Yarrowia lipolytica: one gene and its partners. The protein of the gene in region 2 interacts with the protein of the main gene of each other region in a pairwise test. Links are inferred from orthologs where the notes say so. Each region holds a gene or a part of one and is shown on either strand. Other genes may lie near its edges.

Region 1 (3,275 bases), about 680 kb from region 2:
CCCACTGCTGGCTTAGTAGTAGGTCTGACTTTGACAGGAGACGAGGTGGCCGGTCGCATTGGTGAACGCAGCGACTTGCCAGGGGATCGAATTGGCGACTTTGTGTTAAGCCGAGCGTCCAAATCCATGGGTGTGGTCATGCTGGGTTAGTTAATTTAATGTAGTGAATGGCCGTAAGTCACGAGGAGACAACAACTTCTCAAGTTGAGTTCAGAGGAAGCACTGGCTGAATGTACAAATACTGTACCTGTAGACAGATTGTGCAGCTGAGTAGTGATACATACAAACTGACATGTCAGAAACTCTAGACGTGTAAATATCATGTCAACCGCTTGTAGAAGCACTGTAGGTATCAACTTCCTCCTTCTTGAGTGACTTTCCCATTTATTTATTCCCAATTTCTTCTGATTTGACATCTTCATAATCAGACAAAGTCAGAAAAAACCAGGTATAATGACAATCCGCATAAAACTCCACCTTCTCCACCTTTCCTAACCACACTCACTCATGGGGAATTGTGAACTTGGGAATGTTGTGGAATCCCTGGCCGAAATTCAACTTGTTTGGCTTTCTGTCCTTGAGGGCTCCATCCTGCAGAGCTTGGACCTCCCGTAAAGTCTTGTTCCAGTACCGTTTGGGCACGCGGGTCTTTCTGATTTCAATTTTGGCGCGAACCGCCTGCGCAGCAAATTGATATTGCGACTTGAGTCGCTCGATTCTGTTGGTGACTGTGTTAATACCGAGTCTGTTTGTATGTTGTGCCCTCTGAATGGAGTCCCTATACTCACGTTCGAGCTGTAGGTTTTCAATGAGGTCGTTTTTCTGGACCTCAGTCAGCGGCTTGCGGGCCATGTTGCTAGGAAACTGGTCCATTTCCGTGGGCATAGTGAAAGTGGAAAATGTCGGTGATGTGTGTTGAGTGCTGTGTGCTGGTGAAGTTGTCATGCCGATCCTCTGTTTATCTACGTTGCCCCGGTTACGCTGGGATATATGATTAAGGTTATAATATCAAAACTTTATGTTGATTAGTCAGCAAATGAGGTGAGAAGATGAAAGGGCTTGGTTTGTGGAAGATTGGTTCCGTTGGAAAGAAGCAAAAAATTGAGAAACGAGTGACTCAATCAGAATAAGCTGACAAAGACAATCATTTTGATATACCAAAGTCTCTATATTGTATTTACCGACCGCATTTTACGAGGGAGATCTGATGATAATGGTCCCATTAGCTCAATATGACAATAGGGACATCATTGCTATGCGCCACAAGTGGTCCAGATGACTGTTGAGTAAGAAGATATAAAAAAAAACATAATCAAAATAGGAAACAATCAGCAGCTATGACTCTCAAATATCAAATTGCTCCAGTCTAGGACAACTTTTTTGAAGATTCTGTCTCCAACTAAAGCTAACTAATTAAACTCAGTATTGTTTAGGGCAACAGTTGAGCATTGCTACCCTCAATACTCTCCCATAACTCGACTTCCAGTACTCCGATCGGGTTTTTAAAAGAAGTAACTAATATATCCAACTTTTCCCCAAAGATAGTGCAAATTCCGCTCTCACCAGCCCAAATCCGCCACACTTGATATGGTGGCAAATCGCCTACTGTCCAAACTCTATCACCGCTGACGTCAGCACTCTGTCCCAACCACTATAACCATTGCCACAGATCACCACTCTACACACCACACAACAAGACACAACAGAAGCGCATCACGATGGTTTTGGAAGCAACAATGATAGTGTGAGTATTACCGACGGCCAATGATGTTATCCACACCCCGCTAACACAGAATGGACAACTCCGAGTTCATGCGAAACGGAGACTACACCCCCAACCGGTTCGATGCCCAGGTGGACTGTGTCAACCAGCTCTTCACCATCAAGACCAACCGCAACCCTGAGAGCGCAGTGGGTCTGATGAGCATGGGCGGCCGAGGTCCTGAGGTGCTTGCCACCCTCACCACAGACCACGGCAAGATTCTGGCCGGTATCCACGACACTCATATCACCGGTGCTCCCCACCTCACCACAGGCATTCAGGTGGCCGCGCTGGCTCTCAAACACAGACTCAACAAGCTGCAGCGGCAACGGGTGATTGTGTTTGTGGGATCGCCGGTCGAGGAGGACGTCAAGGCACTGGTCAAGCTTGCCAAGAAGATGAAGAAGAACAGCGTGGCGGTGGACTTTGTCAATTTCGGCGAGGAGGGCGAAAACACAGAGAAGCTGGAAAAGTTCATCGAGGCCGTCAACTCAGGCGACAACTCTCACCTGGTCACCATCCCCCCTGGCCCTCATCTGCTGTCAGACATTCTGCGCAACTCTCCCATCATCAAGGAAGACGACGACGGAATGGATACTTCGGGCATGGGCGGCGCTCCTGGCGGCTCCAACGACGCGGACTTTGAGTTTGGTGTGGACCCCAGCGTGGATCCCGAGCTGGCTCTGGCGCTGCGAATGTCGCTGGAGGACGAAAAGGCCCGACTGGAGAAGGAGAAGGAGCAGCCCGAGAAGCTGGATTCGGTTAAGGAAGAGGACGTGAAGAAGGAAGATGAGGATGCAAGTGGAGAGGACAAGGGTAAGGACAAGAAGGATGACGACAAGATGGATACGAGTGCGTAATCGAAGCACGCTTGAAATATGTGAAGCACAATTGAGAGGCGACTAGGGCGACTGAGCGCGATGCGACGAAGGAATTGGTAGACACAGATCATGTGTTATAATCACAAGATCGACTTCGTCCACCCTGCACTAATCCATACGCACCTTAGAAGTGCAGCCCTAGGATAGGTAGGAATCAATGATATATGAATGCAAGTTCTCTGAGTGCAAGCACGAGGGGAATTGAGGTGGTGTGGTGTAGCTGTGAACATGTAGATGCTGTGTATCTGAGCTACTCTGGTTGTTTTATCGTGGTTGTGATGGATTGGATAATTAGCTTGCTCATTAAGGGATGCGGGGCTGTACCTTATCTGCTGACACCGTTGGCGATTCTCGATGGCAGGAATATAATCATGCTCTTCCCAGTTCTGTCCGAGGTTTATATGAGTTATTGTATGTAGAATCCATTAAACATGTGTTTGAGGAGGAAATGTCCTCTATCAGAAGAAAATTGTAGTTATGCGTACCACCAAGAACATCAATGGATAGCCTTTGACGGATCAATTGATGACCTGAGATCTTCATATAGAAAGAGCTATTTGGATTAACATGAGGTGGGCCCAAATGCCGCTGTTGTCTCTTCTGTCAACTACAAGTACCAGTACACAAGAGTA
Region 2 (3,773 bases):
GTATGAAAGTGGTTTTTCAGATTCAAAAGTTCCCTTTCTATATATTGTAAATAGAGTTTGTCTTGCAGGTAGGCAGTTAATGACATTTAGTTAGGATTACTTAATATATAGTTGGCTAAATAGTTGAATTTTAGACATTCTTTACCCAACATCAAAGTACTGCCTGTAGTGGAGAGACACCTGATTACAGACAGACCTCAGCCATCAGAATTATCAGTTTCGCATAAATAAATAACATTAGTATAGTTGTACAGATAATATAGCAGATTCCATCCCCCATACATACCTACCGTCGTCCTCTACCCCCTCTCCTTACGCTTGTTCAAGGCATTCTGAACAAGAGAGTCCCACTTGGATTTCATTTTTGTCATCTGGGCGTTGAGTTTTTCGTTCTCGGCCCGCAACTGGGCGTTTTCAGCCCGCAGATCTCTCATCGTCGCCTCGTTATGCTCCGTCAGCTCCGTCCGTAGCTTGGTACCGAGACTCTGCAACGACGTGGAACGCATCTGGGCATTCCGCTCCAGCGCTTTGACATGCACTTTCAGACGCGATACCGTCTGTTGCAAGTCCTCCGTCTCCGACATGGGCGCGTCGAATTCAAACTCCTGTTGATTGTTCATGGAGATGGATAGATTGACAAACCGGTCGATGATCTGGGCGAAATCCATGTCCGCACGCGACACCTCTCCTGTCACCAGCGCCGGTTGCTGTTGCTGTTGCTGTTGCTGTTGCTGTTGCTGTTGCTGCTCCAACTCTTCTGCTTCCTCCTCATCGATTCTTGCAATTCGCGATAACCGTGAATTCTCAAGGCCCTCGAGTTTAGACGACTCGCCAAGATGGTGCGCATACATGGTATCGAGCGCCCGTTGAACCGACGCGTTGGAGGACAGTTTCTTGGCCTGTAGCAGCTGAGAAGCGGCCTCCTTGTGTTTCTCTATCGCCTTACCATAGTCTTTGTTGGCGACGGCCGTTTGCGCCGACTTGGCCAGTGAATACGCCTTGTTGAGCGCGGCTTCCGGTTGTGACATGCAAACTGGCAGGTGGACGGTATTAGTACTGATGGTGTCTCTTTGGTGATCAGCTCACGCCGTCGTCATAATAGTCAAGTGACTTGATAGCTGAATTAGGTTTAGATAGTGATAGTGACTGATTATTAATAAAAAAGAAAAAAGAAGAAAGAAAGAAGAAAAAAAAGAAAGAAAAATAAAAAAAATAAAAAAACCAACACGATTGATCTGTGTACAGAAATGGGATTTGGTGATTAATAAACGAAATGAGAGGATCCTTACTTACATAATCGACACTGTGTTCGTCTTGTACATACCGGTGTAGAACACTTGGACCACTGTATGTCAACCAACGCCATCGCTGACATAAGCAAAAGTGGCAACCGGTGGCGTGCTGTGACATATATACAAATAATGACTAATCAGAGATCACGAGTGACGTGATTAATGGCCAGATCAAGACCTTTTGATAACGTAAGACGTACAGACTCACCAATATCAGTGTTGGAAGACTCAAGAAGAAGTGTGTCTGATTGATTTAACCATATATAATTAATACTAATTATATTAATGGTTGGTTGGATGAGGGCTATAACTTTGGAGCCAAAGGAGTATATCCAAACAACGGCAATTGACGGTATTTCCAAAACAAAAAACACAATATTACGAAATCACGTGATTTTACGTCGAGCTGTGTCTTTGGATTTTCGATAGCGTCTCTAGATCGTCTGCGACAGTCTTCCTTTGGTGTCCAGTGTTGCTCTACCACTTCAGTGGCAATTAAGGTTTCTCGAACAGTGTGTCCACCACATCACCGCAGGGCACCTCTCTCAGCTCACAACCAACACTCCAACTAGACCATCATCACAATCCGTGTTAGCTCTGTGCCCGCACTTTTTATTCTAGACACCACCGCTACGCACACATAAGACTCTGCCCGTGACAATGGAAGACCTAGATTTCGACATTGCGTCCAACTCGACCCAAGACATTCTCAACCGCAAACGGCTTCTGGAGAATGAAATCAAAATCATGAAGTCCGAGTTCCAGCGGCTCAGCCACGAGCGCAACACCATGAACGAGAAGATCAAGGACAACGCGGACAAGATTGAAAACAACAAGGTGCTGCCGTATCTGGTTGGCAACGTGGTGGAGCTGCTGGACATGGAGGGCGAGGTGGCCGAGGAGGGCGCCAATGTTGACGTGGAGGCGTCTCGAGTCGGCAAGTCTGCTGTCATCAAAACGTCCACCCGACAAACGGTGTTTCTGCCGCTCGTGGGACTCGTCGATCCTGAAACTCTCAAGCCCGGCGATCTGATTGGAGTCAACAAGGATTCGTTTCTGATTCTGGACACCCTGCCCGCAGAGTACGACTCGCGAGTCAAGGCCATGGAGGTGGACGAAAAGCCCAAGGAAACCTACGCAGACATTGGAGGTCTTGACAAGCAGGTGGAGGAGCTCGTGGAGGCCGTGGTACTGCCTCTCAAGCAGGCTGAAAAGTTCAAGCAACTCGGCATCAAGCCCCCAAAGGGCGCTCTCATGTACGGCCCTCCCGGAACCGGAAAGACTCTGCTGGCCCGAGCCTGTGCCGCCCAATCTAACGCCACTTTCCTGAAGTTGGCTGCGCCCCAGCTGGTTCAGATGTTCATTGGTGACGGTGCCAAGCTGGTGCGAGACGCCTTTGCTCTGGCCAAGGAGAAGGCCCCCACCATCATTTTCATCGACGAGCTGGATGCCATTGGAACGAAGCGATTCGACTCGGACAAGTCCGGAGACCGAGAGGTGCAGAGAACCATGTTGGAGCTGCTCAACCAGCTGGACGGTTTCGGATCCGACGACCGAGTCAAGGTCCTTGCCGCCACCAACCGAGTCGATGTGCTGGATCCCGCTCTGCTTCGATCCGGACGTCTTGACCGAAAGATTGAGTTCCCTCTGCCTTCCGAATCGGCACGAGCCGACATTCTGCAGATCCACTCGCGAAAGATGACCTGCGACGACTCCATCAACTGGATGGAGCTGGCACGATCTACCGACGAGTTCAACGGAGCACAGCTCAAGGCTGTGACTGTGGAGGCGGGTATGATTGCGCTTCGGTCTGGCAAGAACAAGATCACCCACGAGGACTTTGTTGAGGCCATCACCGAGGTCCAGGCACGAAAGTCCAAGTCCGTGTCTTTCTATGCATAAGTATGTTATATACCTAATCTGATGAAATTGTACGAGTCGTGAGAGGCTGCAAAGACACCTGTATAAATGCTGTACCCGTGGTTTGCGATTTTTCAACGCTTTAACATGATTTCTCACTAAGAAAACATGCTTTATTTATGATGTCATTTCGTAGGGAACAAGCCCCTTCTTATTTCAGAGATCAGTGGAAAATAAAAACAAAAAAAACAGTCCTTGCTCTCAAACAAGAAGCAAAAGACACAAACACAACTGACATCTATATAATAAGCTGTCCGTCTCCATCCTCGCGTCCACCTCACCTTGTCCGGTCCGGTTCTAAACGATTGCGTGGTATGTCGTTATACTTCACTTTAGCTCCGGTTGTCAAAGGGAACATGCATAGACCACGCTCGTCTTGGCCAAACCGTAAGTTTACGCTCCAGTTTGCATCTCCACTTACGATAGTCGACAGGAACACAACTGGGCTGAATACGACGAGACCGAGAGCGCACAAACGCCCACAGACACAGAAACAAAACACACGACCGTTGGGACTTGGCACGAGCATGCAAAGCCATGTTTCTCAATCTATCTAAGGCA
Region 3 (5,410 bases), on a different chromosome or scaffold from region 2:
TACATAGTGGAAAGCAGAGGCTCTCCAGTTCATGACTGGTGTTGTGCTACAGTATGTACTAGGCATACATATCAAACTAGTACCTCACGTGATATGAGCACTGTGTATTGAATAAATACCCCACACACTCGGACTCATCACCCATGCCCGGCTTCCCCTGGTGTGTGGATATGCTGTCAGTTCACGTAGCTTACCTCGCGTGACTGACTAACAGGATACTTGGTGCCTTTGGCAGTGCCGTTGATTACCAGCTGTCTACGGTCTGGAAGTAGCGACAGTACCGCAAGCCTTGCATGTTCGCTTTTCAATGTCACCGTCAAAATCAAGAATGGCCTCCTTAATCTGGGTGCCGAGATCGACGAGCTGGAACGAGTTCTCAAACACAATCTCTCGGCACTTTTCGTTAGGACAGTACCATCGCAGAGCGTCCTTCATGCCCTCGGGACGGTCCTGTTCAACCACAACACCAATGGTGTCGGCATATCGAACGGGGTTGTGGGGCACGTTGGCGGGGAGCAGGAAGATATCGCCCTCGTTGATAGTGATATCTCTGAACTCTCCATCGTCCACCACCTTGAGAGTCATGTGGCCCTTCTTCTGGTGGAACCATTCAGGGGTCTGGTTGATGTGGTAGTCAGTTCGAGCATTAGGTCCTCCAACGATCTGTGTTAGTTGATTGGGCAATGGCAAATCACAATAGTTGTGAATCATCTTCCCCAGCTGGATCATTGACTCATGTCATAAATCACTCACCATAACAGTGTAGCCTCCTCGCTGGATACAAAAGTTGTTAACCGGAGGCTTCAGCAGGTGCTGGTTCTCCTCGAGCCACTTGGGCAGATTGATTGGTTCCTGGAGCATGGGTGACGAGTGGTGAGATGTACTGGAAAAGAAGAGCTCACGCCATATTCTATATGCCATGTATGTGGGGCGAATAAACTCAGACAATCATGTGGGGGTGGAGGGAGTATATCTTAGTGTTGAGGAGATGATTGAGAAACTGGACTATGTAGATGGGATTTTCTTGCCTGAAATATTCATTTGACGGTTTCAAAATAAAAAATGGACCCCTTCTCGCCCCAAAATCAGCTTTCGGAGTTATGTTAATCTCCGTAAGCATGCAGGATTCATATGCACTTAATCAGTAGAGACCCTTGATTATGTTAACCAAGTCTGCGGTAGACCAGCAGGTGGGCAGACAAGAGTTGGATTTGTTAATGAGGTTTTAGAAGGTGCGGCAAAGTAGTGATAGCCACTGGCTGACACTTGTGAGCTAAAGTGGCCATGTATGGGGTCAGATACACAGCCACTGTATCAAGTGTTACAGTACACGATGTTCTGGTAGCTGTCTATTCCAAAACACCTCCACACCTTCAAAGCTCTTCAATTGTGCGCTCTCATTTTAGCAATCGAATTGGTATGAGCTTTGGGCGCAGTTTATACGCTTTTGCGATGCTTTCGGTTTCTCTGGTCATGTAATCTGGTTGGATATGATGCAAAGAACGGCAACATGTACAGTATTCACCGATCCAAATCAAACACATCAGGATAACCACACCAGTTAGCTTATGTAATCATGATCCCAACAGAATCCCCAGCAGGGGTGCTTTGAGGCACAAGTCGACAAGTTGTCTTAAGATTACAAGAATATAAGTATCTCGATCCAGTCAAATCAGTCAAATCAGTTTAATCTCATTCTACCAACCCATTCAACTACACCACCGCCGCTCACGTCCCATCCACTCGTACCCACCTGCAAATCGAACTCGCGCCACCTCCCAATAACCTTCTTTAGGCTTCTCACAACCACATCCACATACAAGTAGACGTCATTGGAATTGCCACTGATCTCTTTACCACCCGACATCGATCTCAATCATGGCTGCCAAGGACGTGACTAATAAGCCGAGCGACAAGTCGGCTGAGAAGACCGTCGACAAGACCGCCCCCAACGACAAGAACAAAAAACCAGCCCGAAAGGATGAAGAGGAGCTGTCTGAGGAGGACGAGAAGCTCAAGTCGGAGCTGGAGATGCTGGTTGAGCGTCTGACCGAGAAGGACGAGTCTCTGTACGAGCCCTCGCTCGAGGCTCTCAAAAACTTCATTCGAACCTCGACCTCGTCCATGACCGCTGTGCCCAAGCCTCTCAAGTTTCTGCGGCCCCACTACCCCCAGCTTGCTGAGCTCTACGACACCTGGACCGATGCCAAACACAAGCAGCAGCTCGCAGACGTGCTTTCCGTCCTCGCAATGACCTACTCCGGCGACGGCAAGCGAGATGCACTCAAATTCCGACTCAAGTCGACCACCGACGATCTGGGATCTTGGGGACACGAGTATGTTCGCCACCTTGCTCTGGAAATCGGCCAGGAGTATCAATTGCAGCAGGTTGAGACCAGCGACGATGCCAAGGAGGGCGTAACTCTGGACACCCCCAATTCTGGTGTTGGATCGCTCACCGACGTACGAAACCTGGGCATCAAGCTGGTACCCTTTTTCCTCAAACACAACGCCGAAGCCGACGCCGTGGACTTGTTGCTGGAGATTGAGGCCGTCGAGCATCTACCTAAATTCGTTGACGAAACCACATACGCCCGTGTTTGCCATTACATGGTCGCCTGTGTGCCCCTGCTGGCACCCCCAGATGACGTGGCCTTCCTACACACCGCTTATGCTATCTACCTGGCCCACCGCCAGCTGACCCAGGCTCTGGCCCTGGCGATCCGTCTGGATGACATGGAGCTCATTAAATCGGTTATGGATGCTGCCAGTGGCGACGATTTGCTGCAGAAGCAGCTGGCGTTCATTCTAGCTCGACAAAAGTGCTACTTTGATGTGGCTGACGAGGGCGTACAGGAGTGCATGTCCAACGCCCTGCTGGCTGACCACTTCCGATACCTCACTAAGGAGCTCAACCTGCTGGAGCCAAAGGTTCCAGAAGACATCTACAAGAGCCACCTGGAGAACTCAAGAGACATCATCATGTCGGGGGCCTTTGACTCTGCCAAGCAGAACCTGGCTGCGTCGTTCGTCAATGCCTTTGTCAATTGTGCTTACTCGGCAGACCGTCTGCTGACCAATGGAGGTGCTGAGGATGATGGAGACGCTACTGCTGGAGGAGCATCTGGTGCCTGGATCTACAAGACCAAGCTCGCTGGAATGTACTCCACCACAGCCTCTCTGGGATCTCTGTTCCAGTGGGATCTCAGTCGAGGTCTGCAGCAACTCGACAAGTACGCCTACTCTTCCGAGCCCCAGATCAAGGCTGGAGCTCTTCTGGGTATGGGTATTGTCACTGCTGGTGTCTACGACGAGACAGACGCTGCTGTCGCTCTTCTTGCCGACCACATCACCGAGGAGCCCTCAGCTGAGAACAACAACGGCAACGCATACAACTTGAACCAGCTTTCTGCTGTGATGGGTCTGGGTGTTGCATACGCCGGATCTCGACGGACAGATCTTCTGGATATGCTCCTGCCTTTGGTTCAGGACACTGACACCTCCATGAAGACCTCTGCCATGGCTGCTCTTGCTCTGGGACACATCTTCGTCGGCTCTGCTAACGGAGACGTCGTTTCTGCTCTGTTGGGATCTCTGCTTGAGCGAGATGCCATCCAGCTGTCTGACAAGTGGGCCCGATTCATGGCTCTGGGTCTTGCTCTTTTGTTTATTGGCAAGTACGAGGAGATTGAGGAGGCAGTTGAGACTGTTCGAGCCATTGACCATCCTCTGGGCCGAATCTGCGAGACTCTCATCACTGTGTGTGCCTACGCCGGTACTGGTAACGTTCTGCAGATCCAGAAGTTGCTGCATGACTGTGTTGGAGAGAATGTTACTGAGGGAGAGGCTGACGGAGAAGGCGATGGTGAAGGTGAGGGTGCTGAGGGTGCTGTTGCTACCGCTGAGGGTGCTGAGGGTGCTGCGGATGCTGCTGACGCCATTGACGCTACCGCCGAAGCCGTCGCCGCCGAAGGAGAGGCTGCTGCTGATGCTACACAGGAGGTGGACTCGGAAGAGGCCTCTTCTCACCAGGCATACTCTGTTCTTGGTCTGGCCATTGTTGCAATGGGTGAGGAAATTGGCCAGGAGATGGTTCTCCGACACTTTGGTCATCTCATGCACTACGGCGATGCCCAGGTGAAGCGAGCTGTTCCTCTTGCCATGGGTCTGGTGTCTGCTTCCAACGCACAGATGCGTGTGTTTGACACCTTGTCGCGATACTCACATGACGCCGATATGGAGGTTGCTCTGAATTCCATCTTCTCCATGGGTCTGGTGGGAGCGGGAACTAACAACGCCCGTCTGGCCCAGCTGCTCCGACAGCTCGCCTCCTACTACTCTAAGGATCCCGACGGACTTTTCACCGTCCGAATCGCCCAGGGTCTGCTCTATCTGGGTAAGGGTACTCTTACTGTGTCTCCTTTCCATACCGATCGACAGATTCTGTCCAAGGTGTCTCTGGCATCGCTGGTTACCCTTCTGGTGACCATGATCGACCCCAAGTCGTTCATCCTAGCCGACAACCACTGGATGCTCTTCTGGCTCACTAACGCCATTCGTCCCCGCATGCTCATCACTCTGGACGAGAAGCTGGAGCCTATCAAGGTGCCCGTGCGAGTCGGACAGGCTGTGGATACAGTCGGTCAGGCCGGAAAGCCCAAGACCATCACCGGCTGGGTCACTCATAGCACTCCCGTGTTGCTGAGTCATGGCGAGCGAGCCGAGCTGGAGGACGACGAGTACATTCCTCTGGCCTCGTCTCTGGAGGGCGTTGTCATTCTCAAGAAGAACCCCGACAGAATGGATGAGAGCAGTTAGCATACTCTGATAGGTATGGAATGAATAAATGGAAATGAATAGTAGGATACAGCAATAAATGGCAGGAGCGTAGTAACGGATGTACAGCCGCGATTTGATCTATTCTAAAGTCAGTAATAGTTATTCAGATTCTATAGCGTAGCTACAGTACAAGTGACAGTACGACGATACTCTGAACTGTAGGTAATTTCAGATGATTATTCTATACATACATTCGTACCGTAGTAGTTTCGTGGTTCATCATAATCCATCGCTGACCACAGACAATAACAGGTTCGCTCACATCGTCTATTTGTTCTGTGTGATCGACTCCTCCATCTCCGCAACCAACTTCTTTCGGTCGTCCACTCTCTCCTTCTCCTCGATAGCCTTACCCTCCCATCTGCTCCAGATGAGCTGTTCACAAGAGTTGATGCTGGCTCTGGCCTTCTCAAAAACTGCAACAGAGAAGTCGCTGCAGAGAGCGTCCCAGGTCTTTTGCAGCTTGAAACATCCCCAGACAATACCAAAGGCTGCGATAGAGCCCATGTTGTAAAGAGAAAGGTCGTAGAGGTATACTCCAAGAGCAGGAATGATGACTGTAGGAAGCTGG

Evidence for each region.
Region 1: the proteins of YALI1_D11614g (region 2) and YALI1_D04772g interact in binary tests that used the Saccharomyces cerevisiae proteins (3 or more experiments, as listed by UniProt). The link is inferred for Yarrowia lipolytica from reciprocal best matches to the Saccharomyces cerevisiae genes RPT5 and RPN10.
Region 3: the proteins of YALI1_D11614g (region 2) and YALI1_B04321g interact in binary tests that used the Saccharomyces cerevisiae proteins (3 or more experiments, as listed by UniProt). The link is inferred for Yarrowia lipolytica from reciprocal best matches to the Saccharomyces cerevisiae genes RPT5 and RPN1.

Annotation. Positions count from the first base shown.
Region 1 is NC_090773.1:476,629-479,903, reverse strand, and holds YALI1_D04772g (uncharacterized protein), read left to right. Parts: upstream 1-1,736; coding exon 1,737-1,744; intron 1,745-1,793; coding exon 1,794-1,990; intron 1,991-2,035; coding exon 2,036-2,614; intron 2,615-2,678; coding exon 2,679-2,755; downstream 2,756-3,275. Other genes in the region: YALI1_D04789g (uncharacterized protein), read right to left, coding at 502-945. UniProt on the Saccharomyces cerevisiae protein: Multiubiquitin binding protein.
Region 2 is NC_090773.1:1,159,602-1,163,374, reverse strand, and holds YALI1_D11614g (uncharacterized protein), read left to right. Parts: upstream 1-1,952; coding exon 1,953-3,194; downstream 3,195-3,773. Other genes in the region: YALI1_D11623g (uncharacterized protein), read right to left, coding at 300-1,028; YALI1_D11592g (uncharacterized protein), read left to right, coding at 3,750-3,773. UniProt on the Saccharomyces cerevisiae protein: The 26S proteasome is involved in the ATP-dependent degradation of ubiquitinated proteins. The regulatory (or ATPase) complex confers ATP dependency and substrate specificity to the 26S complex.
Region 3 is NC_090771.1:430,282-435,691, forward strand, and holds YALI1_B04321g (uncharacterized protein), read left to right. Parts: upstream 1-1,878; coding exon 1,879-4,818; downstream 4,819-5,410. Other genes in the region: YALI1_B04309g (uncharacterized protein), read right to left, coding at 256-663, 754-861; YALI1_B04370g (uncharacterized protein), read right to left, coding at 5,107-5,410.